Alligator mississippiensis: one gene and its partner. The protein of the gene in region 1 purifies or fractionates together with the protein of each later gene. This does not show direct contact. Links are inferred from orthologs where the notes say so. Each region holds a gene or a part of one and is shown in the gene's direction. Other genes may lie near its edges. The genes, in order: ATP11A and TMEM30A.

Region 1 (16,034 bases):
CTGTTATGGTATTAGTTTAATATCATTTGCAAATGGTAAGCAGGATGCTTTCAGTGAAGCTGTGGTAATATGAGAAAGAAATCAGAAGAGTCTGGGAGATTCTGAGGCAGGTGTAGTGGTAACAAAATTTAGGGCAGGTGCCAGTTGAGCTGAACAGATGTGGGGAGGCTGTGAAGAAACTGAAGAAAGGAAAAGAGTATTTTCTAAAAGGTACAGAAAAGCTGAATATGGGTGGAGAGTAACTGGAAAGATTTGATTTGTGCTTGGGGAAAAATAAAGCAGAAAACACAGAAAAGTAATGACATGAAAGGGTGTATGAATAAGTTAAGGCATGCATTATTTTAATAAATAACAGATAAAGCAGGACTATAATGAAGAAATCTGAATTCTCATTCTTACTCTGCTGCTAACCCACCATGTGACTGTGAGCAAGTCAATACAGGATATGGGCACCTCAAGCAAGACTGAAGGATTTACATAGGTATGAGCTCCTGGATTCCGAAACTGCAATCAATCATTCAAAATCATTCAGTTCAGGGGAGGGTGAACAGAAGAATACCTCTGTAGTCTAGTACTCACAGCCCTCAGGAGATAGAGGAGGCCAAGTCCAGGCTTCTATTCTCTGGATAGTTTCTGTGTGTTTATCCAGCATGTGTTGAATGGAAAGGACTTGTATTTCACATTTAGGATGTCTCCGTCCTTGTGCTAGAACATCTCATTCTCTCTCTTGGGCCTCATGACTCTTGTACGCTTAGTTTCCCAGGGTCAACTGGGGAAGTGGGGGGTGTGGAGTGCTTCCTGCTATAGGACCTGAGTCAGGTACCTAAGATCTGGAGATGTACAGGAATTTGGGCACACCTCTGTGCTCAGTACTTATTATCTGACTTGTCACTGATCAGCATATGAAGGGGGTTTTTTTTCCCATTCTATGGCCCCTTGCACTCTTCATGGACTACAAAGAGAACCTAGGTGCCTAACACAAATATGGATTCATTTGTGTCTAGTGAGGGATGTTAGGTGTTGCACAGTATCAGCAAATGTACCATAATCATCATATTTGCACAGTAAATTGGACCCCAATAAGTACCTGCACTTGAAACAACATTTGAAATAACATCTTCACTTGACTTTAAATTGTCTTTGTGTCATCCCTCATGCAGGTGGACTTGCTTGGGGACATCTTACACACGTGACTGTGCTTCTAAAGCTGAGCACAGAGTAGCAGAGGACAGTGAACAGAGCATAGAGCAGCAGAGGACAAAGTTCTAGAAGGTGCCAGTGAATGAAAAGCCTGAGCTATTTCCTGTGTATGACAACATGATAATCTATTTGGGACAAAGAATCCGTTTATGTTTACATATTCTTGAATCTTTGTGATATATGATAACTCATTGTTATATGCAATAATTCTGAGGTTCCAATATACAACTTCCATTTTCACTCCCTTTTGCTCCAGTACCTAACCTGCAGATATGTAAAAACTTCATAGCATTTATCCCCAATCATATAATGCATGAATTTCCCTCACTACAAATAAGGATACGACTAATTAACCAATGGATGCTGAAATGTAATTATTTATAAAGTGCTTGAGGTCTTTAGATTTGATACTGTAGACAATATTAAGTTTAAGGAAGACAATTTAAAAGTTCTGAAATATTTGAAAATGCATTTTGGGCATGTAGCGTATAGATGTAATCGAAGAAATGGCACTGAAAAAGAGGCAATTAGTGGATTACTTGGATAAGGAGAGTGCATTAATAAAACAACTTAAGCTTTCCTGTTGCTGTTTAGCAGAAATGTTGTGTACCTAGTCACTCCCATTTATGGTTTGATATTTTTTTTTCATACCAAAAGATTTGTAGAAAAGATTAATTAGAAAAACATTGTATTTACTACAAATTGTTATTTAAGGTGTTTAAATAAATTAGGGGAGGAGGGGAGAAATTAATTTAGTGATAGTTAACATATACTACACAGCTGTGTATACACAGCAAAATTCCTGATTAGTTTTCAGTTTCAATCGTGGCACTGCTGAACTGCTCAAATCCATAGTCCTGTGCCAATCATAGACTCATACAAAGTTAGGCTTAGAAGGGACCTCAGGAGGTCATCTAGTCCAACCCCCTGCTCCAAAGAAGAAGCATCCCCAAATAGATAATTCCAGCCACAGCTTTGTCTTGCCGGGTTTGAAAACCTCCAAGGATGGAGATTCTACCACCTCTCTGGGTAACCTGTTCCAGTGCTTTACTACCCTCCTAGTAAGAAAATTCTTCCTAATATGTAACCTAAACTTTCCTTGTTGCAACTTGAGACCATTGCTCCTTGCTCTGTCATCTGCCACCACTGAGAACAGTCTAGCTCCATCCTCTTTTGGACCCCCCTTCAGGTAGTTGAAGGCTGCTATTAAGTCCCCTATCAGTCTCCTCTTCTGTAGACTAAATAAGCCCAGTTCTCTCAGTCTTTTCTCATAAGTCATGTCCTCCAGCCCCCTCACCATTTTTGTCATCCTCTGCTGGACACTCTCCAATTTGTCAGCATTATTTCTGTCGTGGGGGGTGCAAAACTGAACACAGCACTCCAGATGTGGCTTCACCAGTGCTGCATAGAGGAGCATAATCACTTCCCTTGACCTGCTCCCAACATACCAATGCAGTCCAGTATGCCGTTAATCTTCTTGGCAGCAAGGGCAGACTGCTGGCTCATGTTCAGATTATTGCCCATTGTAACCCCCAGGTTCTTTTCTGCAGAGCTGCTGCTCAGCCAGTCAGCCCCCAGCCTGTACTGGTGCATGGGATTGTTCCATCCTAAGTGCAGGACTTTGCACTTATCCTTGCTGAACCTCATGAGATTCCTTTTGGCCCAATCCTCCAGTTTGTCTAGGTCACTCTGAATCCTAGCCCTACCCTGCAGCATATCTACTACTCCTCACAGCTTGGTGTCATCTGTGAAGTTGCTGAGGGTGCACTCTATGCCTTCTTCCAGGTTGGCGATGAAGACATTGAACAAAACTGGCCCCAGAACCAACCCCTGGGGCACTCCACTGATACCAGCTACCAATTAGACATCTAGCCACTGATTACTACTCTCTGAGCCTGATGGTCCAGCCAGTTTCTATCCATATTACAGTCCATTCATCCAGCCCATACTTTCTTAGCTTGACTGTGAGAAGGTTGTGGAAGACCATATCAAAAGCCTTGCTAAAATCAAGGTACACCACATCAACAAAGCCAATCATCTCATCATAGAAGTCAATCATAAAACCTGTTATGTTTTTATAGAATGCTGTAGTAGAAAGCCCACTGTATTTTTTCTTTTTGTCATTTTTTCTCTTTTCTTAGATGTTTTAAATTTCCCCTTTGATCTTCAAGGAAATGTAATTAAAATAAAAACCTCATGGTACAATATTCAGGCTGTAAATATGGGAATGAAAAAGACAGGTAACACAAAAGTTAAAATAAATTATTATTAGTAGCAAAGGTAAGGAAATCTATTTTTAACTCAAATCTCTTTAAGGTTTGGAATAGCAACCACAATAGTTCAATCACATTGCACTTACTGCATATTAAATTACATATTTTTCAGTCCAACTAGTAATAAAAAATGCTGAATGTATATAGTGTAGCTAAATTAAAGGTGACCTGTAACAAAAAATGGGCTTTTGCCTTTTTCTTTTTCTTTTAAGTTTGTAAGGAAACTTCAAACAATGTGATTTATTTTTTTAACTTTACCTTAACAGCAGCACAAGTTCAGATATTGCTTGTCCTGGAAGCTTTTCATGATGGCTACAGAACTAGGGAACAATGATAACACAAGAACCAAAAGGAAGAAAGTTGATAATTTAGGCCATGAAGTAGGCCATGCAAAGCAGCTTTACCATCTGTGTCCTAGAGGTCTTAGATTGTGACTGCATAAAATGCTTTGGGTTTTTGTTTTCATTAACACAGATTTACCTAAATTGAATGATTTTTAAGTAATTTTGGAGAAAGAAATTTATGTTTAAAGCTTTCAGTTAAGGTGTGAAAAATAATAAATATTCTCTGAAACCATTCAAAAGCCACAAGCCAAGGAAAACCAAAAGTAATTCTCTGTGTATTAAAGTGAAAACCAAATGGAGGGGAGAGGGGGGAGGAAGAAAGAAGGGTAGGGGAGAGCAACAAACCACTTTTCTAACCCTGAGAGGTCATCTTTCAAAACTGAATAGAAATATGATATCTGCTCACCACTGTGTGCACTCTCTCTCTCTCTCTCGCTTCAGCAGCAGGGGAAACAATCAAGAAAACAGGTTAATTTTCACAGGTGTTTATAGGCCATTACTCTTTCTTAGGGCTACAGTGTTTGGGTTTCAGTCATTGTAGAACAAAGTTTGTTCAAAACAATCATTTCCACTGGAATTAAAAAACTTGGAGAAGTTTCCCCGGGTTTGTGGGAGTTTTTTTTCTCTTTTGCAAAAGTTTGCTTTGATAAAATATTGGGTCAAATAGGAAAGTTCCTAGTGTGTTTTACAGGCTTTACATTTAAGGTTCTCTCTCAGATGTGCAAGCTTAGTCTGTTGCAGTAGACTTTTAAACTTAACTGCATTGTAGCTTGCTCATGGGGGAGAGGAGGGGAAGGGAGAGGAAAGGTGGACTGATACTAAACAGGTGTTAGCCAAGAAGTCATAGAATCATTGAAAATTAGGGTTTCTGTGTTTATCTCTGGAAATTAGTTTGTGATAACTTGGGCCCCATTTTGCCATTTGAGTGAACATATGGAGGGAGACACCCTGCACCCCTACTTTGGTGGATGGTTACACACTTATTTCTATTGCAAAATTTCCCCTTCCCCCCAGACACTATGGATGGCCATACTTTCAGTGATCACAGAATCATACAAATTTAGGGTTGGACAGGACCTCAGGAGGTCATCATGTCCAACTCCCTGCTCAAAGCAGGACCATCCCCAGCTAGATCATCCCATCCAGGGCTTTGTCAAGCTGGGTCTTAGAAACCTCCAGAGATGGAGATTCCATCACCTCTCTATGTAACTCATTCTAGTGCTTTACCACCCTCCTAGTGAGAAGGTTTTTCCAAATATCTAACCTAAACCTCCCTTGCTGCAACTTGAGACCATTGCTCCTTGTTCTGTCATCAGTCACCACTGAGAACAGTCTAGCTCCATTCTCTTTTGAACCCCTCTCCAGGTAGTTGAAGGCTGCTATCAAATCCCCTCTTTGTCTTCTCTTCTGCAGATTAAATAAGCCCAGTTCCCTCAGCCTCTCCTCAGAAGTCATGTGCCCCAGCCCCCTCACCATTTTCATTGCCCACCTCTAGACTCTCTCCAATTTGTCCACATCCTTTCGGGGGGGGGGGTCCAAAACTGAACACAGTACTCCAGATGTGGCCTCACCAGTGCTGAATAGAGTGGATTAATCACTTCCCTCAGAAGACTTGAAATCTCACTTCTGATTTCTTAAGCATTTACTTCTGAGGAGCTGATGAGATGATGTGGTCTCCTGCCCTTGCCAAGCGGGAATGTGATCCCCTGAAGAATGACTCATGAGGGTAAAGCTCTTACTTGTCTGGGGAAGTGTCTGCAGGAGTCAGGCCTTAATTCCCTCTGCCTGTTTGCACTGAGGACTGTTTGGCACTGGCAATTCATTTATGCCCCCTACACTGTAAAATTCTTGTAGAAAAGGATACCAATCAAGATACCTTGCTAGGCACTGACTTCCTAACAATTAATTTTGCAGATTATTCACATTCTTTTCTGGGGAGGGGTTTCCCCTTGTATACCACATATGACCAAGTGAGGGCAAGTGAAGTGGTAGTGGAGAAGAATCTAACAATACCTCCCAGAAGTGAGATGATGATCACTGGCAAACTGAAGTGATGGCGATGTGAAGACGAGGGCTTATCTGACCCTACGTTCACTGATGAATTGAGATTCCTGGTGGGAAATCTCCCTTGTTTCCTGGGCCAGTTTCTGGGGCTGCAGGGGTAGCACAGCATGTTCCTGTGGGGGCAAGATCCTTTAAGGTAGTGCTGGGGAAACCTGAGCCTGCTTTCGCCTTTTGGAGGAAATCTTTCACATAAAGCATCCAATGGAACAAAGTGAACAGCTGCAACCTCTAAACTCCTGCTCCCCTTCCCTAAGGAAGCAAGAGATGAGTATTTATCACTCTGCCTTGTGCCTGGAGCAGCAGGAGCTTCTCCAGGGAGCTACTGGAGTGCCTTGGGGTTTCTCAAGGTTTCCCCCACCCCTCCCCCAGCTGCTGGTCTCTGCACAACTGCAGGGGGAGGGGAACTGGTGCCCCTGGGGAAGGGGGCTGATTTGTTGAGAGGAAGGTTCAAATTACACTTGGACTCTTGGGGTGGTCTGCAAAAAAAAATTGGGCTGCCCATCACAATGCTTTAATAAAATCGGAGACCCCCCTGGGTTATGATTTTCAAATATTATAGGGGACCTCTAGTATCTCTCGGTGGGGTAGGGGCTCAGCCCCTCCCCCCAGATCCTCCATAATTGAAGCCTGTTTGAGGCTCCCTCAATGATGGGTGCTTTTTGCCATGCCCCCCTGCAGCCTAGCAGGGGCAGGCACAGCCTTGATCAGAGTGCGGTACTGATAACACCAGGTCCCAGCTGGCTCCCTGGGGACTAGGCTTGAGATCCCTTCCAGCCTTGCATCTCCATGGAGCTCTATGACAGCGCTTCTCAACCCGGGGGTTGTGTTTGGGTTACGAGGATATAGAAAAGGGTTGTGAACAAACTTCAAAAATGGATTCTCCTTTAAAGGAGAAAACCATGGCAAAGGCTGGCTTTTCCCTTGCAAGCTGGCAGAGCTCCAGCCTGCGAGGGGCTGCTGGGGGCCCCCCTACCCCACACACAGGGTTGAATTACACTCTGACCCTGGGGGATGGGCTGCGGCGGGGGCAGCAGGAAGCTGGAGAGAGGCGCTGCCACTGCCTCAGCTGCTTAGGAAGGCGCACGGCAGGCCAGGAACTCTTGTCCCTTAGGGGTTTACAGGGGGTTCTCATCTCCGAGCCCCCCATATTTCAAACCCTGTGAATACACCCAGCCCCTGCGCCACACCCGGGGGGGCTGGCAGCAGCAGGTCAGGCGTGAGGAGCACCGGGTCGGGACTGGCCATGGAGGTTTACAAGTGGGTCCTGCTACAAAAAAGGTCGAGAACCGCTGAGTCCGTGATAGCCCAGAGGAGCGGGACTTGCACAAGCAGCCCCTGGGGGTGGGGGCAGCACTGCTGGAGGGAACCCGGGGAATGGCCAACGAAACCTTGGGGGGAAAAAAGACACAAGCCGCGTCCCGCAGGGGCTGGAGCCCCACCAGGCGCTGCCCGCAGCGCGCCCCAGAGCCGGCCCAGCCAGGTGCGAGGTGAAAGCACCGCCGCCGAGCTGGGGACAGTGCTGTGCGCATGCCCACACGCCCTTTATGACGTGGGCGTCTGGGGAGCCCGAGGAGATCAAAGAGCGGCTGGGCGCGGGAGAGCGGGCGGCTGCAGCCCGGCGAGGTAGTCCCGCGGGCGGGGAGCCCCGAGGCGCGCTGCTGGTGCCCGCCAGCCAGCTCGCTTCCTCTCTTCAAAGCCGCGGGCGCCGGGGAATGAGCTGCTGGGAGGCGCCGCGCGGGAGCAGCAGCGGCGCACACATGGCTCTGCCCGGCGCTCGCATGATTTAGCCGGGGCAGAGCGGCGGTAGCGCCCGGGCCAGCCCCAACGCCAGCCTCGGGAGGGGGCGCGGCGGCTCCGCTCCCCACGCGCGCCTGCCGGGGCGGCTCCTGCATGCGGGAGCGGGGCGGCTGCAGCTTGCGCCCAGCGGCGGCGGCAGAGCCCGTGCCTCGCCATGGACTGCAGCCTTCTCCGCACCCTAGTGCACCGATACGTGAGTACCCCGCGCCCGGCCCCCGCCTGCCTGTCCGCGCCTCCCCAGCGCCCGCCCGCCCGCCCGCGCACGGGAGCGGCGCCCGCGAGTACCCAACAGCCGGAGCTAGGGGTGCGCACACGGCCGCCCCGCTCTGCTCCTCACCCCTTCTTTCCTTTCTTCGTTTTTCCCCCGCTTCTTTTTCTTTCCTTTCTTCGTTCCTTTCCCTGCGCTTACAGTAAGGGATCATCGCGAGGCAGGGATTGAAGGGTCTCATGACTTACCCTGAGGTCAGGGGCATAAGTAGCAGCCAAAGGAAGTGTGCGCACACACTGGTCCACTTTCCCCGTGCTTGCAGTAAGAGAACATCTGCCAGGGCTTGGAGGGTCTCACGATTTGAACTAAGGTGAGGGAGAAACCTTGGCCGCCCCAGGGCAAGCGATTCCCTCTGGGTGAAAGAGATGGCTTCTGCATTTGTTAGCTTCGAAATGCACATCATGTAGTGTGACCTCCTGTCACTTGGGTTCACTTCTGAAATCCAGTGAACTTTCCCTGCTTTTTTATTTTTGGGGAGCACGTTAGCCAGGTGGCTGGAACTGGCCACTGATGGCAAAGCAGGTCTCCTTTTGGAGTTGAGACTCCTTTTAGAAACTGAAAGAGTCTGGCTATTTTTCACATAACTAAGTCACGTGTAAACTGACAGTTTAAATGTACTGACGGGGAGTGGGCACAAGCCTTCTGGTTCCCTCCTCTCTTGAAGATTTAGATATGTTGGGGAGTCCTGAGCACCCCTCACCCCTTTTTTGCTCTGCTGGGTGTGTCACTCCATTTCTCCTCCCAGATACTCTGAGCCCAGAAGCAGTTCAGCCTGAGTCACAAGGATTAGCATAGAGGCAAGGCTTTCTTAGGGTGGTGTCTTCTGTTGAACTATCTATGCAGTTGCGTAGTTAGATGAGCTTTTAAATGTAAGCCATGCTTCCTTAGCATTGAGAGAAGTGGATTGGGGGGGACAGTTTCAAGGGAGCTGAGATGCATGGGCCACTTATTAGCACTAGGTATAAGGGACCACAGGACCCTAGGAAAGAACAGTGGTTACAAACCATGACTCAGTTTCCAGCTGCCTACTGAAATGGCCAAGAAATCCTTTTTTTGGAGGGACAGGCAGGAATATGGGGATTTGAACATGAACTGTATAGATCTCCCCCACACAAAGGCAGAGGGGTTGGAGTCTGGAACTTGCCTCAAGCCATGAGGACCCATTTTGAGGGTGGGGCTGAGTCCTCACCACCTAGTAGTGAGTTATGTCCTTGTGTTCTCAGCTATATTTAGCTGCTCTTGGTAATGTTGTCCGATTGATAATGTCCCAGTAAACCAGTGTATAGTTTGGAGAAACTTGCTTTGGCTCCTGTTGTATTTCTGTGGATAAAATGAAAGCCCCCAGAGACATGCTGGGTATAGCAGCTACCCTTTTGCATACACATACTTTGGGGGAAATGAATTAATTTGAATATGAAAAATACTCCCACCATTGAAAGCTAATAGAGTAAAGAAGTCAGCATTGCATTTGGGAAAAAGGAGTTGTAGATGAGTGTGCACCAGAACTGGGTGGTAAAATCTTGCCTTTGTTAACACTCTAACAATCAAGATCTTGGCTGTACTAAATTGGCCAACAGCCGCTGAAGAGGGAAATAATACAAGGGGCAAAGGTTAAAAATAGGAAACTGAGGTTAAATAAATGCATCTGGAGTAGGAAGAAAAATAATTCAAAAAAGAGGTCTCAGGGTGGTCAGTGTGAAAGTCAGGGACCTGACTTCCTTTTATGGTAAAACAGCTAGTAAAGCCTAATTTGAGTTCCTTACTCAAGATGTTTGGGTTGAAAGAACAGTTCAGAGGGGAAATTTAGCAGGAAAAAGTTGGGAGCTGAAGATATGTTCGCTGTGGAAAGCCTTCTAAAACGATAGCTGTTATGAGATGGCATGCATATGTGTGTGGGGAGAAATAGTAATGAAGCTACTTGCATTTGTGCATCTTTAGATTATAAACCTGAAGAAAGGGGGGAATTGTTTCAAGTTATACAAAGCTGTGTATAAAAAAACTAGTTTGCACCATGAAAATCCAACTGAAAAATTTCAGGCTTAAACTCAGATGAGCTCTTCTGCCCATGAAGAGCTCTACTAGCAAGCAGTTGCATTCTGCTTGGATGTAGCAGGGTTCAGGATCTGGCCTAATAAAAGGGGGAAAAGTTGGCTAAATGAGGAGCTCTGCTAGTCTGTGGAATAGTCCTTTGAAGGAATTGGGTGTCATAAACACTTTTGGTGGAAACCAGACCAGAGACTGCGCTAGAAAATGTATTCTATTTTGAGAGATAAGGGAGCATGTGAAAACATACCCTGCAGAAAAATAATCATGTACTTGTGGGAGGATAGAGTCTCTGACCTAAAAGTTTCTTTTTGTAACTAATTATATTCATTATATAGACTGAAACGGAGTCCAGGAATTTCCTAATCTGGATGAGAGACTGTTTATACACTTCCCAAATCTCAGTACCCTGTGTTTTTGTTTGTGGGACAACTGAACAGATCTTTTATTTTCTTTTTTTCTGCAGAGATCTACAAATAGTAAGTTTTAATCTGTTGCTCCAGACTTTGCTTGTCTGCATTCTCTATAATCTCAGTTAGTTTCTTTATCTTGAATTTATTACTTCAAATGAAGAAGCTGTTGTGCACAGCTCAGGTTTATCATCTAAATATGCTCTGTACGAGGAGAACTGGATAGCTCCTTTTTCCAGCTCAGTTCATTTTCTTTTTATATAACTATGAGAGGAAATGTGCACTCTTAAAATCTTAAATGTTTTCCCTGAAACTGATGATTGATTGACAGAAAAGATTAGCTGATGACCATGCCATTGCAGAATCGCTGTTGCTTTTGTTTCAGAGGTATTTATTCTTTTATAGGAGACTGGTAGTTTTGCAGTTTATCTTTCTTTGTTTCAGATTTTTATTAAATACTGTTGTTGAGATGCTATGTCTAAACAGGAGCAAACTTGTGCTTAGTTGAAGTCCTTACCAGAGGATATTCATGAGAAGATTTGGAGTCAGAAAATTCTTAGTGGCTACTGTACTGAAGCATTGGTAACAATAGCTCTGTAATGCCTAGTTGTCCTAGTGAATAAATGGCCTCTAAGATATCCAGATCCTAGTCTGTTCAAGCTGCAGTACCCTGGGCTGCCTTGATCTTTTCAAGGGTGCTGCAGGGTGCCATACTATATTAGCACTACTTGGTGTACAGCCATGGTTCACAAGATAAACCCAGTGATTTCAAAGATGTATTCATAGTGTTACACACGTTCTGACCTGGTATGGTCTTTCTTAGCTCTTTACACCAAAAGAATTGCTCTATTATTTTTATGTTGTCAAAAAATGAGTGAAAGCTAAAACTTGATAGTTTCTTAGGGTTGCCTTGAATCTTAAAAGGTTGAGAAGCTCTGCTGGCTCCTTTGCTGTCTCTGTCTGGAGACATAAGGAAGTAGCTAGCTGAGTGCTCATAGCTCCGGTGTGATGTCTCATTAGTCTCTGTTGAGCAGTAAACGGCTTCTGCATGTCGTATTAGTTGTAGCTTCTATGTGGTGGTTTCCATTAGTCCCATATAATTTTCAGTTGTGGTGGTGATTAAATACATGAGTTATAATGTCAAGGTCTTTATTCAAAAGGAAAGGCCATTCTCTTTCTGTGTGTGAAAGGCAGCAGTTTATGTTGAAAAGCAGTACAGATTCCAACGTAACTCTTAAATCTGTGAAGCACTTACCAATCATTGCTCAGGAGCTTCTGGTTTTCCAGTTATGGGTAGCTTTTTCAAATATGTCTGGCTGGCTGGCTGGCTTGCTTGCCTCAAATTTTTCAATTGATTTGTTTAGGTAGAACATGGTAATTGCAGAGGTAGTGTGGACAGAGCAGATTTTTGACATTTGGAAAAAAGCATGACCAGAACTTTGATATCGTGTATTCAGTCTCCCAGGATGGTGGTAGACTGGCTTTAAAAATAACATCTCTACTCTGTTGTTGTCTTGCCCAATTCAACCTTGTGTTATGATATTCCTCCCCCCTAATTTTTTTTTTTATTTTTGAATAAAATATTTTTCTGTTCCCTCCTACCCATTTTTTATAAGGTTATATGTATAGAATAAAATTGTATGTGAAAGATGCTGAAGTGAATTGTACTGAAGTATGACAATTCCGGTAAGAAGACCTCGTATAAATGCTTTGGGATCCTTCAAGATGAACAGTGCTGCAGAAATATGCTTGACTAATGCCAGTTTTTATATTAAGTTTAAGGTAGAATATTTGTGAATTGAGTGTTTATTTACTGAGCATACAGTTTCTAGAGGGTTTCAGCTTGCATCTAACATGCCATGTTGCATCTTTGTCAAAAATAAAGTAGAAATATTTTTTCCCATACACCATTCACAATGCTGAGCTAGAGGACCTGAATAATAGTTCTGTACTTGCCAAGTCAAAACACTCAATTTGTCTTAAAGCTTTACATTTTATTATAAACAATGGAAGTCCCTTTCCTAATGTATGTTGATGATTTTAATTTTTTTAAAGTTGGGTAACTTCTGTCCCCAAGTTTTCAAATTTGATCAAACTGACTCTTCTGCAGAGTCATACATTTGGGTCCTTTTACAGGGAGCTTGAAGTAAACTGTGTGTTTGTGATGCATCTGTCAATTTTTATGGCTTTATAATCAGAATTTCCCAACTTTTAGCAGACTGTTTTTCCTCACCCCCCCCACCTCCCTTTAAGTCATAAGCAAAGACAAAATAAAGTAACCCCTCCTTTCTTTCCCTCTCTCTTGGGGTAGTGTGGTCCATTTCCTGGAAGATTGTACCTCTCTAGGGGAGTCAGATTCACAGTTTGAAAATACCAGGTTTAATGGTGTGGCACACAACAATATTTGATTGTGGTAAAAACCTGGATAAGCAGTTGCATGAAAAATTTAGCTTTTAAAGCAGAAATTGGCACCATTCGGTACTTGGGAGAAATTGAAGGTGCTTTGATAATTAAAACTACGTTGAGAGATTATTCCAGTTTAAGGCATTGTCTAGATGCCATGAAGTGGCGTGGCTTCATTTGTATAGTTCACTGCAATGTCATCACCTCCCTTGTGATAATTCATGTTATCCTTAGCAGTCTTAATGATTTAGAAGTTCCTCCTAACTGCACCAATTATTATTTCCCCTTTTTTATAATGGAGAGGGATTGTGTTCCATAAATAAAACACACAAGTCTTGACTCTTGTAAAATGAATATTGTTTTTCTTTCGTCATTTCTAATGTGTATATTTGTAAACATGATAGATACCTTATTTCTAGTAAGGTGCAGGGCTGCACAAGTTTGAAGTTGCTTTCTGGGGCAAAACGGAAACTGTTGCTCTTGGCATGCAGCTTCTCGGACACGAAGCAGTCACTGAACATCTTGCAACCTATTGTAATTGCCTACACTGTATTTTGGGGACAGCTGTCCCTGATTGGTAGATACTGTTGTCCAGGTTGACTGCTCTATTTTTGGCAGTACTGGTTAGGTTAGAGAATTGCAGTTACTGCCCTACAATTGCCCTGCTTTTCCTGTTTATATAGTACATTACAATTACTGACACTGCTGCTGTATTGTCTGCTCCTTTGTGTCCCCCCACATTACTACAGGATCATAAATCTGATTTCAGAATATTAAATATTTGTTGGCAGTACATAAATAGAAATGTATATAATATAACATTTATTTATTTATTTATTTATTTATTTATTTTAGTACTGTGTATTGTATTTGATAAATTGTCGGTCCTCTAGAAAGGAAATCTCTGCATCTTTGGTCCCTGGAGAACTCCCAGAGCTGTTACATTAGTCCTTTAAACTGGCTGAGCTTTTCAAATACTTTTTAAATGGCTTCATAAATGTATGCTTTGTCTCTCACTGTAACAGAAGTGGGTTGAAAGTGTAGTCTTAATTGAGTAAAATGATTGTAGTGATTGGCATAACAATGGTCTAATCTGGAAATTACATATAAAAAGTTTCAGTGTATTTGCCACAATATTTATGTGGAATTTCATGTTAGTTCTACTATGCTGTATTTGCAGTCATTGATGTAAATGGTGTGCCATTTATGTTAAGAGTATAGTTCTAAAATTGCTGTTCCTAGTGAATGCCTTAAATACTAAATTGAAATAATATTCATACACTTCAATATAACAAAGGCTGATGGAGCTTTAACTTGAAAGTTGGAGGGAAATCAATTAGGTTTATTAGTCTGGGGCTAATAAATAATAATAACAAACATGGTCAACTTCAAAAGTTGCTTCAGGTGCTGTACCTTCCTTTAGGCAAACTTCTGTGGATGTACAGTTTTATATTCATGTATATTTTAAGTATTGGTGTAAGGTCCACACAAACGAGCACTCTAGCTGACTGTTTAGGGAAAATACTTTACATTTTTAGTGCTATCAACTACACAAAGCAGCACTAAAAATTATGTTCTCTAACGTATTTTCCATTTTTAGTTTAGGGTATAACAATTGTTAAGTTGGGGAAAAAAAAAATCAGTAGCATGCCTCAACTTCATATCCCTTCCAGATTCAAATTTTGTCCAGAAGGCAGTAACATCATTTTGAAAAAGTAAGAACAGTTGAATTTGAAGGATTTCAAAGGTTAATTCTAAGAACTGAAACAAACATCATGACCTCCTCCAGCATCATTCACGTAGTCAGCATTCTAGCTTTTACTTCACCAAGAAATCTACATCTATGCGGAATTAAGACGCTCTATTTTGGAATTTTTTCTTTATTTAATCTCTTTTCTTGCAAGACCTTGTACTGTTACAAAGTCTATGTGCCAGCCTCTGATGGTACTCTTGTCTTGTGATGTTTGTGGCGTGGTACGTTCTGCAGCGTTATGTAGGCAACTTCTGCAGCCTGTGATCATTTGGCTCTTTGTGTGCCCTTGCTGATTGCACCTGGAGTCAAGTTAGCACTTAAATTTTCCTTAAGCAGAGTACTACTAGATAAGTAAGGTGACCATACGTCTTGGTTCCATATAGTCGAAACTAATTAGCTTCTCATGTAATCAACAGCTGTCCACTCTTAACTCTTGTTTTCTGCTTCCCAAGAAATTTGTGAAGAATTACAGTGGCTTTGTTCTTTGCAGAACTGGACACAAATCCCTTTATAATGAAGAATGACTTTCTTTTTTGAATAAACCTGTGAAAGTACAGCAGTAAACAGGTTCAGTTTCTGTAAGGCAGAGCATATATTACAAACTGGTAGGTATTGGTTACAACATATTGCTCTTCTGCATTCATCAAAGTTCTTTCATATTTAAGAATTTTTTTTTCTTCAGTCTCTGAATTGTTCCGATCTTAAGTCAACAAAATTTCTGAAAGACCTCTTAACCCTGACATTTTTAGCACCGGAATATGTTGTCTTGATATTTTCCTGTTTATAAGAAAAGTACCTATCTTTTGATAGCCTTCGTTTTCTTTTTATTTGCAAAATCATTGGATGTTTATGCAGATACTAATTCGCAACTGAACTTCATTGCTGAAGGAAAGAAGCATTTTCAGTAGACATTTGGGAATGTAAGAGAATAGTGCTTGAAGTAGCACTTGATAGATTTAAAATACCTATGCTTTTCCTTTTATTCATTGTCCCATTTCTTGCTAATAACTGAAACAAGAAAAGTAAGAGGTGAAACTACTTTTTATTAATTGAGTCAAATTGGTTTAAACTACATTCAGAATACAGTTACTGGGCTAGCAAGTAAAAAGTATTGTAAATTGTTTGAATTGTCTTCTGGTGTTTAACTGCATTTGTGTGTATCCGTGTCTTTGAGATGGCAAAGGCTAATTTCCCATCTCTGCCTTTTATCACTAAGCCTCCTGCCCCTAGAAAAACAAAATTATGGTAGTGGAATGGCTAGGCAGATGTTAGAACACCTGTTATGAAATTGAATTTGACTTGCCTGTATTGTGAACAAAAAAAACAAACCAGTATCATCATTTAAATCTTTTAGTCTACTTGTATTTTTCAGACTACTGCTTCTTAGCTTGCTGGTTTACCATTCTATAGGATAACATTTCCATTGGTGGAATTGTCACAGGATACCTCAGTTGAAGTCGGTCTGAATTGTGAGGCAGA
Region 2 (16,034 bases), about 290 Mb from region 1:
GTGAGGGGCAGACAAACATATGCTCACAGACACCACCCAGCAGATAAGTCTGTGGAGGGGGAGGGCTGGGGGGAGAGGAAAGGGGCAGGGAGGCTGATCGAGGCCCTCACGGTGAAGGAGGGAGTGGGGCAAAGGCTGGGATGAATGGGGTCCTGGGACTGGTCATGCGACAAGAGCCATGGGTGGTTTGTCCAGGGGTTTGGGGGACACAGCTCCCTGCTGCTGTGTGCAATCCTGAGGGAGGCATGGGGAACACATACCCCCTGATACATGCATGGGGCAGAGGCAGGCAGCCTGCTGTGAGCTGGGGCTCTGCATCCTGTTGCCTTTGCCCTGGGTGCCATGCAATGCCATGTGCCTCCTGCCGCTGGGTAGGCAGGGGACACACAGCTAGCACGTGAGTCCTGGGGCAAAGGCAGCAGGGTGCAGCGCCCCAGCCCACACAGGCAGCTTGCCTCTATTCTGCACAGAAACTGGGGGGAGGGGGGTGTGCCCCCCATGCCTCCCCCGAGGGTGCATGCAGTGACGGGCAGCCATGCCCCACCATGCCCCTGGATGAACCGCTTGCAGCTCTGTGCCATGACTTGTCCCAGCCCCAGGGACCCATTCACTCCAGCCTATGTCCCACTCCCTCCCTCACCATGGGGGCCTTGATCTGCTCCCCCACCCCTTTCCTTTCCCCCCACCCCTCCCCCTCCACAGACTTACCCACATGGTGCTGCTCTACATGCAGCGTGCAGGCTGTGGTTGCTCATGTGTGCCAGTTTGTGTGCGCCCAGGCTGCCCTGCACTCCTCTGCACTGCCCCGTTGGGTGGCCCGGATGCAGCGGAGCACAGCCCAGGCACAGGCTCCAAAACCACATGCACGATCAATGTGCTAAAAAAGTTAATGCAAGAACCAATTACACATTAATCATGTACACTAACTGCGATTAATTGGCATCCCTAATTTTTAATATATTTTCAGTTTTCCATTATATAGTTCTAAAAAATCAAACACTTTAGAACCATTATTTAAAAATTAAACTTGGACACAGCTTCATAAAAATATAATTGTGGCAAAGATACACAGATATTTTTAAAATAGTTTTTTAAAATCTTATATATTTTTAGGGAAGGGAAGGAAATCACTCTTACTCCTTAAGAAATATACAACCGACTGATGTCTGAAAGGGTATTATATGCATTTCTAATTAATGGTTGACTATGTTATTTTATTTCAAACCTTCACAAATATTTCAATTATTTTCAAGGTACTCTCAAATCTACACTGATGATGAAGTTCTTAGTAAATATGTTGTGCATAATAAAATGTACTACTTCAGATTAAATGACTATGATTATTTAATATTTACAGTAAAATATTATAATTAAATATCAATGCAGACAGACTGATTAGGATAATGGACCTTGTATATTAGGCACAATACAATCCTCAACTACAGTTCTGCAGTCTTTTTACACATTATGGATATAATTCTGTTGGCCATAAACTTAATGGCAGAACTAAATGTGGAAGAATGTTATTTAAGAAGTATCCTTGTTTCTCTTTCCTTCTCACATTCCTGATTGTTGTCTTAACTTTACTGGTTCAACAAATATGAGTAAAATAACTACATTACAACCAGCAACCCTAAAATAATTAAGATATAAAATGTTATGGCATAATGGGGAAATAAAAACTGAATAAAAACTGGCCACACATTTTTTTTAGTGAAAAAATGGTTCAAGAAAAAATGTTGTGTCTAAATCAAAACTTGATGCATTACAGTTTTGACAGGAAAAGTTTCTGTTCCAGGACTAAATTTCTTGTCTAAGTGAGAGAGGACCATACCCACATACAGACATCCCAGAAGAGCTACAGTATGTTAGAGAGGGCATTCAGCAAGATTAAGTTCCTGATCTGCCTGATTCAGACTAGGATTTGAGCCTCAGTTTTATAATGGTTTATCTTGTTCAACTATATTATTATTTTTTTCAAAGCAGCAGAGATGTGGTCTGAGCGCTGAGTTGGGAGCCAAAGATATCTGAGTTTTAATTTTGGCTCTAGTAGTCTCTGTTTTGCCTTGACTGAAACATTTATCTATCTCACAATATTTTATGAGGTTTAACTGTCTCTAAGATGTTCTGAAAATAAATACTATAACATGCCAAATTTAATTTTAATATTTTTATTTTAAAAAACAATCATTAAAATTAGTCTTATTTACCTTCTTATAACATCAAATATTTTCCTGTCTTTTCTTTTAGAGAGTGTCATCATTCATCAGTTACGCATGAACTCTAGATGAAATACTACATCAAATGTATTCTGTATGTGTGCACTTCCTTACTACAAGAGTTGGATGGATCACTGTTGGAAGCTCTTTACCATTACTGCCAGGGGCTCCAATGCTACTGATTACTTATGGAAGTATCTATTGCTTCCACTGGATATTTGTTTTGTTTGGGGTTTTTTCTTAGACTTTAAAAAATGCAATGGCGTTGCTAATATTTTCAAAGTATATAGTGAGAGAGAGCAGCAGTTTTGCTGCCAAATGAATTTTACTCTTCTTTTGCAAAGCATAAGGCATATGCTTGATTTTGTTTGGTGTTTGCTATATAATTTATTTTTATAATACACTTTGTAATGTAATTTTCCCTAAGCCTTCCAATTTCTATTGTCCATGGCACATTTATATGTAGAACACTGTCAAATTCTGAAAGTGTTGATTGATATTTTTCTATTAGAGAGCCTGTTAAGAAATTACATGTTAACAACAGTGCATTTTTAAATGGAAGACGTACTGTACTCAACACAAATTTTCCTGCCACCTTATAACTCTGTGAGACTAAATGTTCTGAAGACTGCTGTACAGGATATACTGTTATAAGTTTTTTGCACTGTGCGGTGGTTTGGCGTAAAACTGAGTACTAAAATCCAGAGTCCTAAAGTACTACCTGACTTCATAGATTGATTTGAAATACTGCAAACCAGTGTTCGTTAAGCTGTGATTTTTTTTTTTACGTGTGTTTTTACTTCTGCCTGTACCATAAAGTCAATTTTCATTACACTATAACAAATAAATTTTCACTAGTATGCAAACACAACCGAATGTCTGAATGGTAATACTAATTTCAGAAGGCTGACCCCATTTCAGTTGTTTATAGAGAAGGACACGCATGATTTTGGCAGTTGCTGCCCTTAGGTTAGTATTTGATACCATATTAAAGTGCATGCATACATACATAAAGTTGACCCTGATATTGCCAAGTGCTTTAAAGAAAAATCCATTGCCTGACAGAGCTAATGATATTATTGTTTCTAGCTGTGCTTTCTTGACACTAGCAAATAAATCACAAACTGAACTTAAATTTTATATCAGCAGCCCTGGGAAGCTGGAACATAAGAAGCAGCAAAGTGAGAATTCTATGGCAGCTCTTAAAATAAAAATGATATTTCACAGACTTCTTAATAAGATGCAATACAAACTGCATACAGTATAACTTCATAAATCCAGCATGCTCAGGACCGAGCATCTACCGGAAATTTGAAAATTCCGGAGTTTTGAAACTGGAGCGGTGGCTGGTCATGGAGCGGGGGATGGGGATAGCAGCAGCTGATCCTGGAGCAGTGGCCGTACATGGAGTGGGGTGGTGGACGGCGGCAGGAGCTGCCACATGCAAGCTTCCCCCTCTGTGTCTTGGGAGGCGGGGGGTTGTGGCGGCCAGTCCCAGAGCAGCGATGCGGGGTGGTGAATGGTGGTGGTAGCCATTGCGTGCTAGCTTCCACCTCTGTGGCTGGCAGTAGTGTATTTTTTAAAAGTGCCAGATTTTCAAGAATTCTGGATTGTTAATGTCTGGATTTATGAGGTTATACTGTACTATGTTTTCTGGTATTTATTTTCATAAATAAGTATTTTTATAATTAATTAGTTGTATTATGAATTGTTGCCATATTTTTAGTTTGCAGAGGCTTCAAATTCTATGTTGTCAAAAAACTTACCTGGGGGGGGGGAGGGGTTGGAATATGGAGGAATGTTTCAGGATTAAAGAACAGATGCATTAACTGTTCATTTCTGATAAATGAATGAATGGTGAAACACTTCAGTTTTCCTATTCTGACATATTCAAGAACAATATTTAACCTCATGCTGAAATGAATAGAGAAGTTAATCCCTTAGGCTGTCTCTGCACTTGGAAAGATAATGAAGTGTTGATTTATAGTCATTCAGATCATGTTTCCAATATTATTTTCTCAGTAATAAGAAACAGGATATTTTAATACCACAATTTATATTCTGCACCACATTTCACACCAACAGAATGGTAGGATATGCTGCTACCTATATAGCGTGTATCTTTCTGACAGCATTTTTAAGCTATTTTATGCGACTGTTTGCTTCCATGAAATTCTAATATTTGTTTGTTTTGTATAAACTTTATATGAAGTGAATTCATTTTAAGTGGGTATAAAGTGTCATGATATGGCAGCCTGTAAGGAAAAGACGAAAATGCCAGTTACAGCATCTAGAATGGATACAATCAATTTCATTTTTCTTATGAAGAATGAACCCTGCTAGGTTTTGGCTGTACTGGAAAAAGCTTTCTTGTTTAGTTGTTTTGCTAAACCCTCACAGTGATGCTGTAGCTTACATAATAGAAGATATTGAAAGCGTGTTCCACAGCCTTCTGACCTTATTTGTGAATGAATCACCACCTAGATTAAAAATGGCTTTAATCTAATCTGTAATGAAACTGGCAGTTATCTCAGTGAACACAGCAACCCTATCACAATGTTTTTTCTGGTTTTAACACTGCTTTTAACTTCCTGTTGTGCTGTCTGAAAGCCTCAGCTGATATAGAAAGTGTATTTTACTTGTTGAAATTTAACAGCATTCTGATATATTTTGCTTATGGCAAAAAATATTGTGCTTGCTGTAAGAACTTCCCCTAACCCCTACCAAAGACACAATTTGTAGAACTTTAAACAGTTAAAGTATTTTTGTTTTTTGTTTTTGTTTTTATCAGAAATGCAGCTAGGATTTATTTTCATGTATTTACTTTTTAAAATATTTTGAATGGAACTGTAGTATCCATATAATTGGGAGACATATTTCACTGGCTGTAACCTAAATGCAATAAAATGTATGTTGTTGAGGTTTTCCATACACGTTAAGCTTGTAATATTTGACTGGCACGCAGATGTATAGTATATTTTGTAAGATAACAAATGCCATCTGCTCGAAATGTATCCCATTTCAGATGACAAGTGAATTTTACCCTGTGAATTAAAGTTGCTGCCTAAATCTTTAAAATAGTCTCATCCATATTTGAATATTGAGGGCCTGAATGCATTACATGTTCACACTAGAGGAAACTGTTTTTGTACTAGTATAAACCCTTAACAATGTAAAACATGTTAGAATCTAGTGTAGTTACCCTGGAGAAAAATGGTAGTAAAAATACATACAGGTGGAGGTGTTGTGTTTGCAGTTATCTTAGGTAGTCATTCAATCATTGCAAACAGCTTATTATATGTGCCTCATCAATTAGTGTTGAGGTGCTTTAAAAGTGTTTACTGCAGTGGCTGCTTCAGGATCCTTGCCTGTCTGCTCTGGATTCCAGTGTAATTTACAATACTGTAAAAACCGATACACATCAAACTGGTAGTATCTTGGCCCTCTATTCAAAATATAAAAATTAAATATAGTAGCTATGTAATTACCTTCTGCTTTTGAGTACTTTGGGAGAAAGAATAGTGACAGATGGAACTAGAGACCATTCTGGCCTTGACACCTGGAAAGATCATGGAACAGGCCCTCAAGGAATTTATTTTGAAGCACCTAGAGAAGAACAAGGTGATCAGAAACTGCCAGAATTGATTCACTAAAAGCAAGTTGTGTCAGACCAACCAGATTTGCATCTATGATAGGGTGACAAGTTCTATGGAAGTGGAAAGCAGTAGATGTGATATACCTTGACCTGTGACCTGGTCTGCCACAGCATTCTCATTAACAAACCAAACTGAGGAAATACAGACAAGATGAAAGCACTGTAATGTGGATATATAACTAGTTGCATCGTGTTCAATGAACAGTCATCAATGACTCAATATCTCGTTTGGAGGAGGTATCAAGTGGGGTTCCTTGGGAATCTGTCCTGGCTCGGGTATTGTTGAACATTTTCTTAATGATTTGGATGAAAGAATTGAATATATACTTAGAAATTTGCAGATGACACTAAGTTGAGTGAAGTTGAAGACATTCTGTAGGGTAGTGCCAGAATCTAGAATGACCTGGAAAACGTGGAGAAAATGCCCACAATCAATCAGCTGAAATTCAATAAGGACAAATGCAAAGTGGTGCACTTAGGATGGAATAACTGCATGACAAATACAGACTGAGGAATGACTTGCTAGGTTGCAGAACTGAAGAGGACCTGGGGTTACAACAGATCATAAACTAAGTATAAGGGAACAGGGTGCTTTTGTTGCAAAAGAGCCAAAAGCAGGCTGATTTGTTTTAACAGGGTTGTCACTTGCAAATCAAGAGAAGTAATCCTTCCAGTGAGTCTCTCCACTTTTGGACCCTGCACTTCAAGAAAGATGTAGTAGACAGACTGGAGAGAGTTCAGTGGAGAGCTACAAAAAAAGATTAGAGGCCTGGAAAGGATGACTTACACGGGATGGCTGACAGAGCTAGGATAATTTACTCTGGAAAAGAAAGTCTCTGATAGTCTTTAAATACTTAAAGGATCATTATAGAGAGAACAGAGAAAAATAATTCTCTGTGGCTATGTGGGACAGGACTTGGAGCAAGGAGTTCAACATTCAGCAGAGGAAATTCAGGTTGGATATTAGGAAGAACTTTCTGTTTATAAGGGTGGTCAAGCACAGGAACAGAAGTTATGGACTCTCCATCCCTGGAAATTTTCAAAAGCAGTTTAGACAGATACTTGGCTGAGATGGTTTAGTCAGGGATGATCCCACCTTGAACAGGGGACTAGACTAGATGACCTTTTGAGGTCCTTTCCAGCCCTACTTTCCTATGATCCTAAGTTATACTAGAAATATTCTTTTCATACAAATACACTTGTTAAAGAAAATAATCAGTCTTCCATTTTACACCTCGGAAGCAGAGAGTATGCTGAACTCTCCCTTTCCTTTGTGTGCTTACTGGCATAATTGCAAACAAGTAAATAGTCTACAGAAACACTATCCCCATGATACTTATAGTAATTAAATTCAACCTCATCCACTTCAGTATCTTACTTAGGCACATATAATGCTACTGGGAAGGCAGGAAGAAGGGCCTGTTTGCTGTCTCACTTCTTTCCTCATCCCCCAAAATTACATTGGGTCTGTTTTAAAGCATCAGACCAAGGAGAAAAACAAATCACTCAGGTCCACTGAAGACCCAGGAACCAGGTGGGGGGAGGATTTACCCCCTTCTGCCCTTCACTTTGGGTGAAGTTACACATTATACACAGAACATACTAAATCTGTGGAATATTAAATGGTGTTAAAGCTACAACGTGCTGTGAGCAATCGCACATAAAGTAGGGTTACCGTATTTCCAATTCCAAAACAGAGGACACCTGTGGGGGGGGGGACCTCACTCCCCACCCGCAGACCCCTGGCCCAGATGGTGGCCCTCACTCCCCACCCAATCCCTCACCTCCCCAGGCTATGCTGGTGCCCCTCACTCCCAACACGCATCCCCCTGGCCCTGCCAGGGCCCCTCCTGACCCGCAGACCATCCCAACCGGGCCAGCGTGCGGCAGCTCCGGTTTTTGCGGGTGCTCGTGGAGCGAGTAGGAGGGAAAAGGGGAGGCCTGTGGCATCCCGCCCCACGCCCTGGGCTGGGGCTCCCACGTCATGGCGGGCGGCCCCTGGCAACATCTCCCGGCCAGCGCCCCACGATCAAGGGCACTAGCCCAGCTCCCCCGCTGCTCTCTAGAGAGACCGGGCCTGCAGAACGCTAGCAGAGCAACTATGCATGCGCCACCCCAGCTGCGGGGCCGCGTCTCACCCACCGGACTGCGCATGCGTAATACTCCTCCCTCTCGCGCTCTGACTTTCCCCTGACACGGCGCGTCATCAGCGCGCGCCCCAGCTTCTCCCCTTTTGCGCAGGACGGCGCGAGGCCCGATCACGTGGCGACGGCGGGCGGTGACGTTGTTGTGTCGTTGCAGCCCCTCCCCCCCTCCCCGGCGCGAGCGGCGGAGGCGGCGGCGGCCCCCCGAGCCCCCGCCATGGCGGTGAATTACAGCGCGAAGGAGGATGCGGATGGGCACCCGTCGGGCGGGCTGGGCGCGACGGGGGGCGGCGCGGCCAAGACGCGGAAGCCGGACAACACGGCGTTCAAGCAGCAGCGCCTGCCGGCCTGGCAGCCCATCCTGACGGCGGGTACCGTGCTGCCCGCCTTCTTCGTCATCGGCCTCGTCTTCATCCCCATCGGCATCGGCATCTTTGTCACCTCCAACAACATCCGCGAGTACGAGGTGCGCTGTGGGGCTGGGCTGGGTGCGTCCCCGGCCGGGCTGCCTTGTCCCTGCAGGCGGCTCCGGAGTGCACCCGGGGGAAGCCGCCGCGGCCCGGCCCGGCCCGGCCCGGCCCGGTCCGGTCCTGCCTGCAGTGTGGCCGCCGGTTTGAGCCTCCCTACAGGGAGGTGCGGCCCAGGTGGAGACAATCCTCGGGGTGGGAGGGGCAACGAAATGGTTTGGGGCCCGGGGCGCAGGGCTGGTGAGCAGAGGCTGAAGGACTTGGGCTTGTTCAGCTGTCTGGAAAAGACGGGAGTAAGAGGGGATTTGATAGTAGCCTTCAGCTACCTGAAGTGGGATTTGAAAGAGGATGGAGCTGGACTGTTCTCAGTGGTGGCAGATAACAGAATAAGGAGCAGTGGTTTCAAGTTGCAGGAAGGGAAGCTTAGGTTGGATATTAGGAAAAACTGTCTCACAAGGAGGGTAGTAAAGCACTGGAACAGGTTACCCAGAGAGGTGGTGGAAGCTCCATCCTTGGAGGTTTTTAAGACCCAGCTAGACAAAGCCTTGGCTGGGATGATCTAGTTGGGGCTGGTCCTGCTTTGAGCAGAGGGTTGGACCCAGTGGTTCTCAGCCTTTTTTTGTACCAGGACATATTTGTAACCATAGGTGGCAAGTCCTGACCCAGTGCCCCTCACTCCTGACCTGCTGCCCCCCACTCCCAGGCCCCCAGTGTGCGAGGCAGGGAGGCCCCAAGCAGCCCCTCACAGGCTGCAGCTCTGGCAGCCTGCAAGAGGGAAACCACAGCTTCCTCCATTTTTCTCTATTTTGAAAGTTTGCTCACAACCCTTTCGTATATTCTTGCGACCCACTATTGGGTTGCAACCTACAGGTTGAGAAGCGCTGGACTAGGTGACCTCCTGAGGTTCATGGATTCATAGATTGGAAGGGACCTCAGAAGATCATCGAGCCCAGCTCCCTGCACCAAGCAAGAAAGACAACCGGGGTCAAGTGACCCCAGCAAGGTGACTGTCCAGTCTCCTCTTGAAGATCTCCAGGGAAGGTGATTGCGCCACCTCTGGAGGGAGCTTATTCCATGTTCTGGACACCTTGGCTGTGAAGAAGTTTTTCCTAATTTTGAGCCTGAAACAGCCTTTCAGGAGTTTGTGACCATTGCTCCTGGTTTTCCCCAAGGGTGCCCTGCTGAACAGTTGTTCACTAAGCCTTTGATGTATGCCCCTGATGTAGCAGTAAGCTGCTACCAAGTCCCCTCTCAGCCTTCTCTTTTTTAGGCTGAAGACACCCAAGTCCCTCAGCCTTACCAGAGATTTGCATGGCAAGCCATATGAGGTCATACGGGTGGCCCTTCTCTGGACTCTCTCAAGCTTTTCCATGTCCTTGTTGAAGTGCGGTGCCCAGAACTGGATGCAGTACTCCAGCTGCGGTCTCACCAATGCTGAGTAGAGCTGAAGAATCACTTCTTTGGTTTTTCTGGAGATGTATCGATTGATGCACGCCAGAGTATTATTTGCCCTGGTGACTACAGAATTGTATTGCCGGCTCCTGTTCATACTGTGGTCAGTTATTACCCCCAGCTCTCTTCCATTCATAGTGCTGGTCAGATTGGCATTGCCAAGCCTGTAGGTGTGCAGGGGATTGTTCGTCCCCAGGTGAAGCACTTTACATTGCCCAATGTTAAACCTCATCTGGTTCTGATCCGCCCAACTTGCCAGCCTGTCTAGGTCCACATGTATCTGCAGCCTATCTTCAGGCATGATCGCGCTTCCCCATAACTTGGTGTCATCTGTGAACTTGGCCAGGTCCCTTCCAACCTTAATTTTCTATATCGCCCTTGTAGCACAGTCAGTACCCCACAGACACACTTCACTATTGAAGACTTTTAAGCAGCTTGATCTAGCCTGACCATCCTCCAGATACTGGTAAGGCCCATCACCCATATCTCAGTGCCAGGATGTGGTCCTCAATAGGGTTTTTGGAGGGTTTTTTTTAGCCAGGGATCTGCAAGTTGATTTATGGGGTAACTATAATACTAGGGGAACTTTGAAAGTGGAGAAGATGCTTGTTGTTTTAACATGTTGATTTAGACCACGTGCCTACGTACAAGAAGTTCAGTGCTAGCATGTGTATACACATATGCTTTGTCAAGCTGCTACCTAAATGCAGTACAGTTAATGTTTCTGTGTTTCATACCGTGGATGTCCTGACAGGCTACAAACAAGCTTGGAATAATGCACCAACGGTCTACTCGCATCAGGGGACATCTTGCAGTGATACTGTCTGTAATGCTGAAGTATACTAGGGAGGGCCCTTGGTGGTGCTTGTGTATACAGCTGGCAAGTAGCCAAAATGTTATCTTCATTTTAAACCTTTACACTGAGTTTAACAATTCTAAGTAGTAGAGGTGCACTGATACATCGGTCCATATCGTATCGTTACCAATAAAAGGAAAATTGAAATTATTGGTAATCGGCTTTTTTTGGCTGCTGTGGCCAATAATGTCACTTATAAATCTGTGCGTGCGCATAGCCACAGCATGCATGCAGCCACTGGGGGACTTGGGCGGAGGGAGTGGCTTCTGCTGCTCCATGCACCTGCAGGGTGAGGCATGTGGAGCACTTGCCCCCCAGATCTGTGAGTGAGGCAAGAGCAGGCTGCCACTGTGTGCTGGGGCTGGGGGTGGCACCAGGCTCTTTCTGGTGGGGGGGACTGGGGCTGGGCTAGGGCTGCACTTGGGGCAGGCAGCAGTAGTGCTGGGAGGAAGGGCTGTGGGGGGTGGCTACAGCCACCTCAGAATTCACTGTAGCCTCCCCGAACCCCCACTCCCAGTGCTGCTGCTGTCTGATCCAAATGCAGCCTTGGCCCAGTCCCCACCTCTCACCAGGAAGAGACCAGCGCTGCCCCTGTCCTCAGCTCACAGCGGCAGCTGCCCTTGCCTTGCGCACAATTCCAGGAGGCACATGCCCCCTATGCCATCCCCCCCACCATGAGCTGCTCGTGACTTCGTCCTGCCCCAGCCCCACTCCCTCCCTCACCGTGGGCAGCCTCACTCTGTCCTCCCTACATCCCCTCCTTCCCTCTACCTCTTCCCCACAACTGACTTGCTAGCTGGATGCTGCTCTCCAAGCTGCCATGCTGCATATTGGCAATCAGATCGGTATCAGCTGATATGGCTTGTTAATAATCAGCCATCGATATCAGCCCAAAAAATCTTTCAGTGAACCCCTACTGAATATTAAAACAATGCAGCTTTTTGGTGAACAACTAAAAGCCACCTCTTCCATCATCCATGCTCAATGTTTGATTAGCTGGTAGCTTCTGTATTTTTATAACAACAACCTAATTTCTAGCAGTTGCTTTTTAACTTGTTGATTGAATAAGATGAATTAAAAAAAAAAAAAGAAGATTGCTCACAGTAAAAAAACAAAACAACATAAGAGTGTGTGTGTTTGTAGGAATGCAGTGGTACAGAGTATGATGCAACCAGTGTGAGCCAATAAAAAATTACAAGTCCTTGTGCAGATCCAGTAATTTGACATGGACAGAAGTAGACAGAATTGTGAAGATCAGAGTAGTTGTTTTAACCCCTGGTAACCAAGCAGCATATGTTCTCATTTGTATATCTCTCTAAAGTTTTAACATTGCTGTAATAAAATGTGTAAATAATCTAAAATTGAAGCTGCTCAAGTCAAGGAATGTAAAAGATTAGTTTGAAATGTACTTTGTGTTCTGTCACTATCGTGTCTACAGTTAATTGCTTTCTAAAAATATGCACCTTTGTGCTTAGATCTGAGGGCATGCATTGCATCGCAAAAACCTAATTGATTTCTTTTAAAGAATGCTGTTAGGATAGGGTTTTTAAAAAAGGCATTTTCTTGTGGTAATATTTGAGGTAGTTGTGTAATCTTTAATGGGATGCAATTTAGAGAATGGAAAGGAACGGTTCCTTCTAATACATTAACCATTGGCAAACTGTTGACAGTGGTGTTTTAAAAAAATTCTTATCTTTGGTTTAGGTTTAGTTATTACAGCTAAAAGTATTTACATTTTTATATCAGTTTTTATAGAGTGTGGAGACTAAAGATAAGGACCTTAATCCATATTAGACACAGAAGTAAAAGTAGTAATTTGTTTTGGTTTTTTTTTTTAGAAATGCAAGATACTCCTAAGCTCCTCCCTCCTTCTTATGCAAAGGGCCTGCTAGTTACAGCACTCGACCAAGAAGCAGGTTCAGGTTCAGCACTGTCTGAAAGATTGAAACCACTTTTCAGGAGATGGGCCTGATCACATCAGGCTATAGGTTTTTGATGTAATAATGTAATGGGCCAGAGTGATAGTGAACAAGCCTTTGTAGCATAGTAGTTAGGGTAGAGTACTCACTTGGGAGTATGGAGATTATGGTTCTTCTCCTTGTTTCAAACACTGTTTAAATTTCTTATCCAGTTGCTTTTTTAATGTGGGAGGAAATGTATAAAGGGGAAGAAGGGGATGGCAGCACCACCACTTCCTCCTCCTGGAGCTCTTTTTGAAAGGCAGGACTCTGGAGCTATGTTTCAGGAGAGGGGTTAGGCTTGGGTGATTGTAGATAACTTGCAACCTAGAGTTAGGTGTCTGAGTCCTAATTAGGCTGGGGATTTTAAGATGCACACCTTGTCATGGTTTCGTTCTGACCAGTCTAGGTTACTTCCTGCTTGGTGGGAGGGGTGTTGTAAATCCCATTCTTTGTTTCCTTATTCTGCCCATGTTCTGTGTGGGTGGTTTAGATGCCGAACTTGTGCCTGTGGATTCTGGTTTGGAGGGTGCAGGATTGAAAGCTTGGGTGTCACAACATCCAAGTTCCTTGGTCAACCTAAACACTGGTATATTTAAAAAAGATTCTGCTTTTATTTAGATGCAAACACTTGTTTTGCATCTAAAACAAACATTTGTTTGTTTTAGATGCAAACAAACAAAAAACATTTGATTTTTGTAGAAGTGGTCCCAATGATTTAACACAGGTTTAAGTGTTTGCAGAACTGTGGCATAAGTATAGATTTAGAAGCTGAAATTACGTACTCAGTTCCAAAAACTATGGTCTAGTTTCTTAGCTGTTCTCTTCGTTATTTTAGCTTTTGGGCATCTGTTGGATTCCCTTGGAATGCCTGCTGGGAGTGGCATGGTGTGGTGTGGCAGGAGCAAGAGGAGCAGGAGGAGGAGCAGTTGCTGGAGGCACGGGGCTCAGAGCAGCACTCAACTGGCTGCAGCCACCTTGGGAACAGCCCACTGGAAACTGCTCCAGCTCCCTGGAAGATGGCTGGGAGCTGAAAGGCAGAGCTGGGTGTTGGGGCAGGAGCCACCAGGCTGAAGCTGCTCACCCACCTGCCTGGAATGGTATGGCACAGTGCAGCAGGAGCAGCTTCTGGTGGGCTGTTCTCAGTGCTGTCCCCTGCCACGTGAAGCGCTGTGGGGGCAGCTGTGGGCCAGATCCAGTCACCTGGTGGGATGGATTTGACCCACAGGCTGTATTTTTCCCACCCCTGATCAAGCCCCTATAATTCTTTTGAGCAAGTAAATTTTTGTTAATTTGACTACGTTGTTTAAAATACAGAGTGAGCACTTCACAGATTGATAACAACTTATTTTTTTTAGTAAAATGTAACCACACTTTAATTTTGTCTTTCACTAACATTGATTTTTATTTTTTACATAATAATTTTCTAATGAAGCCATATTTACTAAACTGACCTGGATATTCCAGAGCATTAATGGCAAAGTGAATGATTTTAAGTTAATTTTGCTTAACAAAATGGACTTAAATTCAAACATGGATTTTTATTTGCAATGGAGGATAATGTATGATGCAATTTTAGACTTGCTTTGTATAATTTTGACCATTCAGCTAAGTACTCAATAACAGTATGTACGTTTGCATTGATTTCCACCAGAGCTACCTTAAATTCAAATATGGAAGCTTTCCACCAGATTTAGTATCAGTATTACATATCCTGCACATAAGCAGTTTTCTAGCATTTTTGCAAACTCTGTTTCGCTCACACAAGAGTTTCATAGCAGATAGTGTGTTCATAGTTATCAAGGGGAGACGAACGTAATTTAGTTGGAAGAAACAAATATAAGCTACTAAAGAGAGATTCTTTGAAAAACCTATTTTTCCCCTGGAGTAGAAAGATTGCATTAAAATCAAGTTTAAATTTACCAAAACTCAACTGGATCCAGGACAAGATTCTTAACCTCAAAGTAATATTGTGTAAAGAGAATGATTGTTCAGTTGTTTACTTCGAGAGGTGAAGAAATTAACTTAACGTGGCAGCTAGGAAGGTTTAGCAGTTGTACATAATCAACAGAGAACAACTCCCCCTCTTCCCCTTTTTTTCCTCACTCTGAATTGTTACTGTCTAAGGGCCTTACCCTAGATCAGGGGTTCCCAAACTGTGGTACATGCACCCCTGGGGGGGGGCACTCAAGACATCTCTGGGGGGTACATGGGAGAAATTGTATAATGGCATATTTAATTTTCATAATAATAATTGGCATTTAATGGGGTTAAAATATAAAATGTATCCTGGTAGGAGTGCATTGGCAGCTGGTAAATCTGGAAGGGGCTATGCGATAAGCAACAGTTCGGGATCCTCTTCCATAGATCCAGGGAAGCTCCAGTCAAAAGTATGTTCACATTGTTTGTCTATAGGGATTTCCTACATTGTAGAATTTGCAGTCTACTATTCAGAGATTCGATTTTCCAAATGCAGTCTGCTTTATTGTAACCCTAAAGTGTCAGAGTTTGTTTGGACTAACTGAAGAACTAGAGTTGGATGTGCATAATGAAGTTTTTGTAAAAGATGAGGTTTTTTGTTGGTTTGTTTTTTTTTCCAGATATCTCTCCCAACCGTACAGCTGGTCTAATTAAAGATATATCACACACAAGTTTTGTCTCTCATACATCATTTTAAATCAGCCAGATCTGCCCATGAGTTAAGTACCAAGTCAGCTGCTGTTCAACTGACTGTTCAGTTCAGGATAAACGGTGTGCAGTGCTATTTAAACTAACAGTTGACAGATTGCTCGTAAGGACTGCTGAAGCGGTGATATTTGCCAGTTCATGCAGGGTGTAAAACTAATTTCTTTACGTAAATCAACCTTTTTTTAGGCTCAACCCTACTGTATAGTAGGAAACATGTTGCTTATAGTTATGTATATAACTATATATGTATAGTTAGCCTTCGATCTGGTGTCCCATGATCACCTCTTGGAGAAACTGGCCAGTTGTTGCCTTGGGTCCTCCACAATCCACTAGCTGGAAAATTGGCTCCGGGGTCAGACCCAGAGGGTAGTAATTGATGGAAGTCACTCATCATGGTGTCCTGTGACCAGTGGGGTCCCCCAAGGCTCTGTCCTTGGACCCATACTGTTCAACATCTTCATTAATGATGTGGACACTGGAGTCAGAAGCGGACTGGCCAAGTTCGCCGATGACACCTAACTTTGTGGCAAAGCATCCACACCAGAAGACAGGCGGGTGATCCAGGCTGACCTGGACAGGCTCAGCAAGTGGGCGG

What was found.
Region 2: the proteins of ATP11A (region 1) and TMEM30A purify together in Homo sapiens (co-immunoprecipitation; 4 studies listed by BioGRID and IntAct, with this or other methods). This does not show direct contact. The link is inferred for Alligator mississippiensis from reciprocal best matches to the Homo sapiens genes ATP11A and TMEM30A.

What each region holds. Positions count from the first base shown.
Region 1 is NC_081824.1:352,401,737-352,417,770, reverse strand, and holds the start of ATP11A (phospholipid-transporting ATPase IH), read left to right. Parts: upstream 1-7,464; 5' UTR 7,465-7,832; coding exon 7,833-7,871; intron 7,872-16,034. UniProt on the Homo sapiens protein: Catalytic component of a P4-ATPase flippase complex which catalyzes the hydrolysis of ATP coupled to the transport of aminophospholipids, phosphatidylserines (PS) and phosphatidylethanolamines (PE), from the outer to the inner leaflet of the plasma membrane.
Region 2 is NC_081824.1:65,527,897-65,543,930, reverse strand, and holds the start of TMEM30A (cell cycle control protein 50A), read left to right. Parts: upstream 1-8,165; 5' UTR 8,166-8,235; coding exon 8,236-8,484; intron 8,485-16,034. UniProt on the Homo sapiens protein: Accessory component of a P4-ATPase flippase complex which catalyzes the hydrolysis of ATP coupled to the transport of aminophospholipids from the outer to the inner leaflet of various membranes and ensures the maintenance of asymmetric distribution of phospholipids.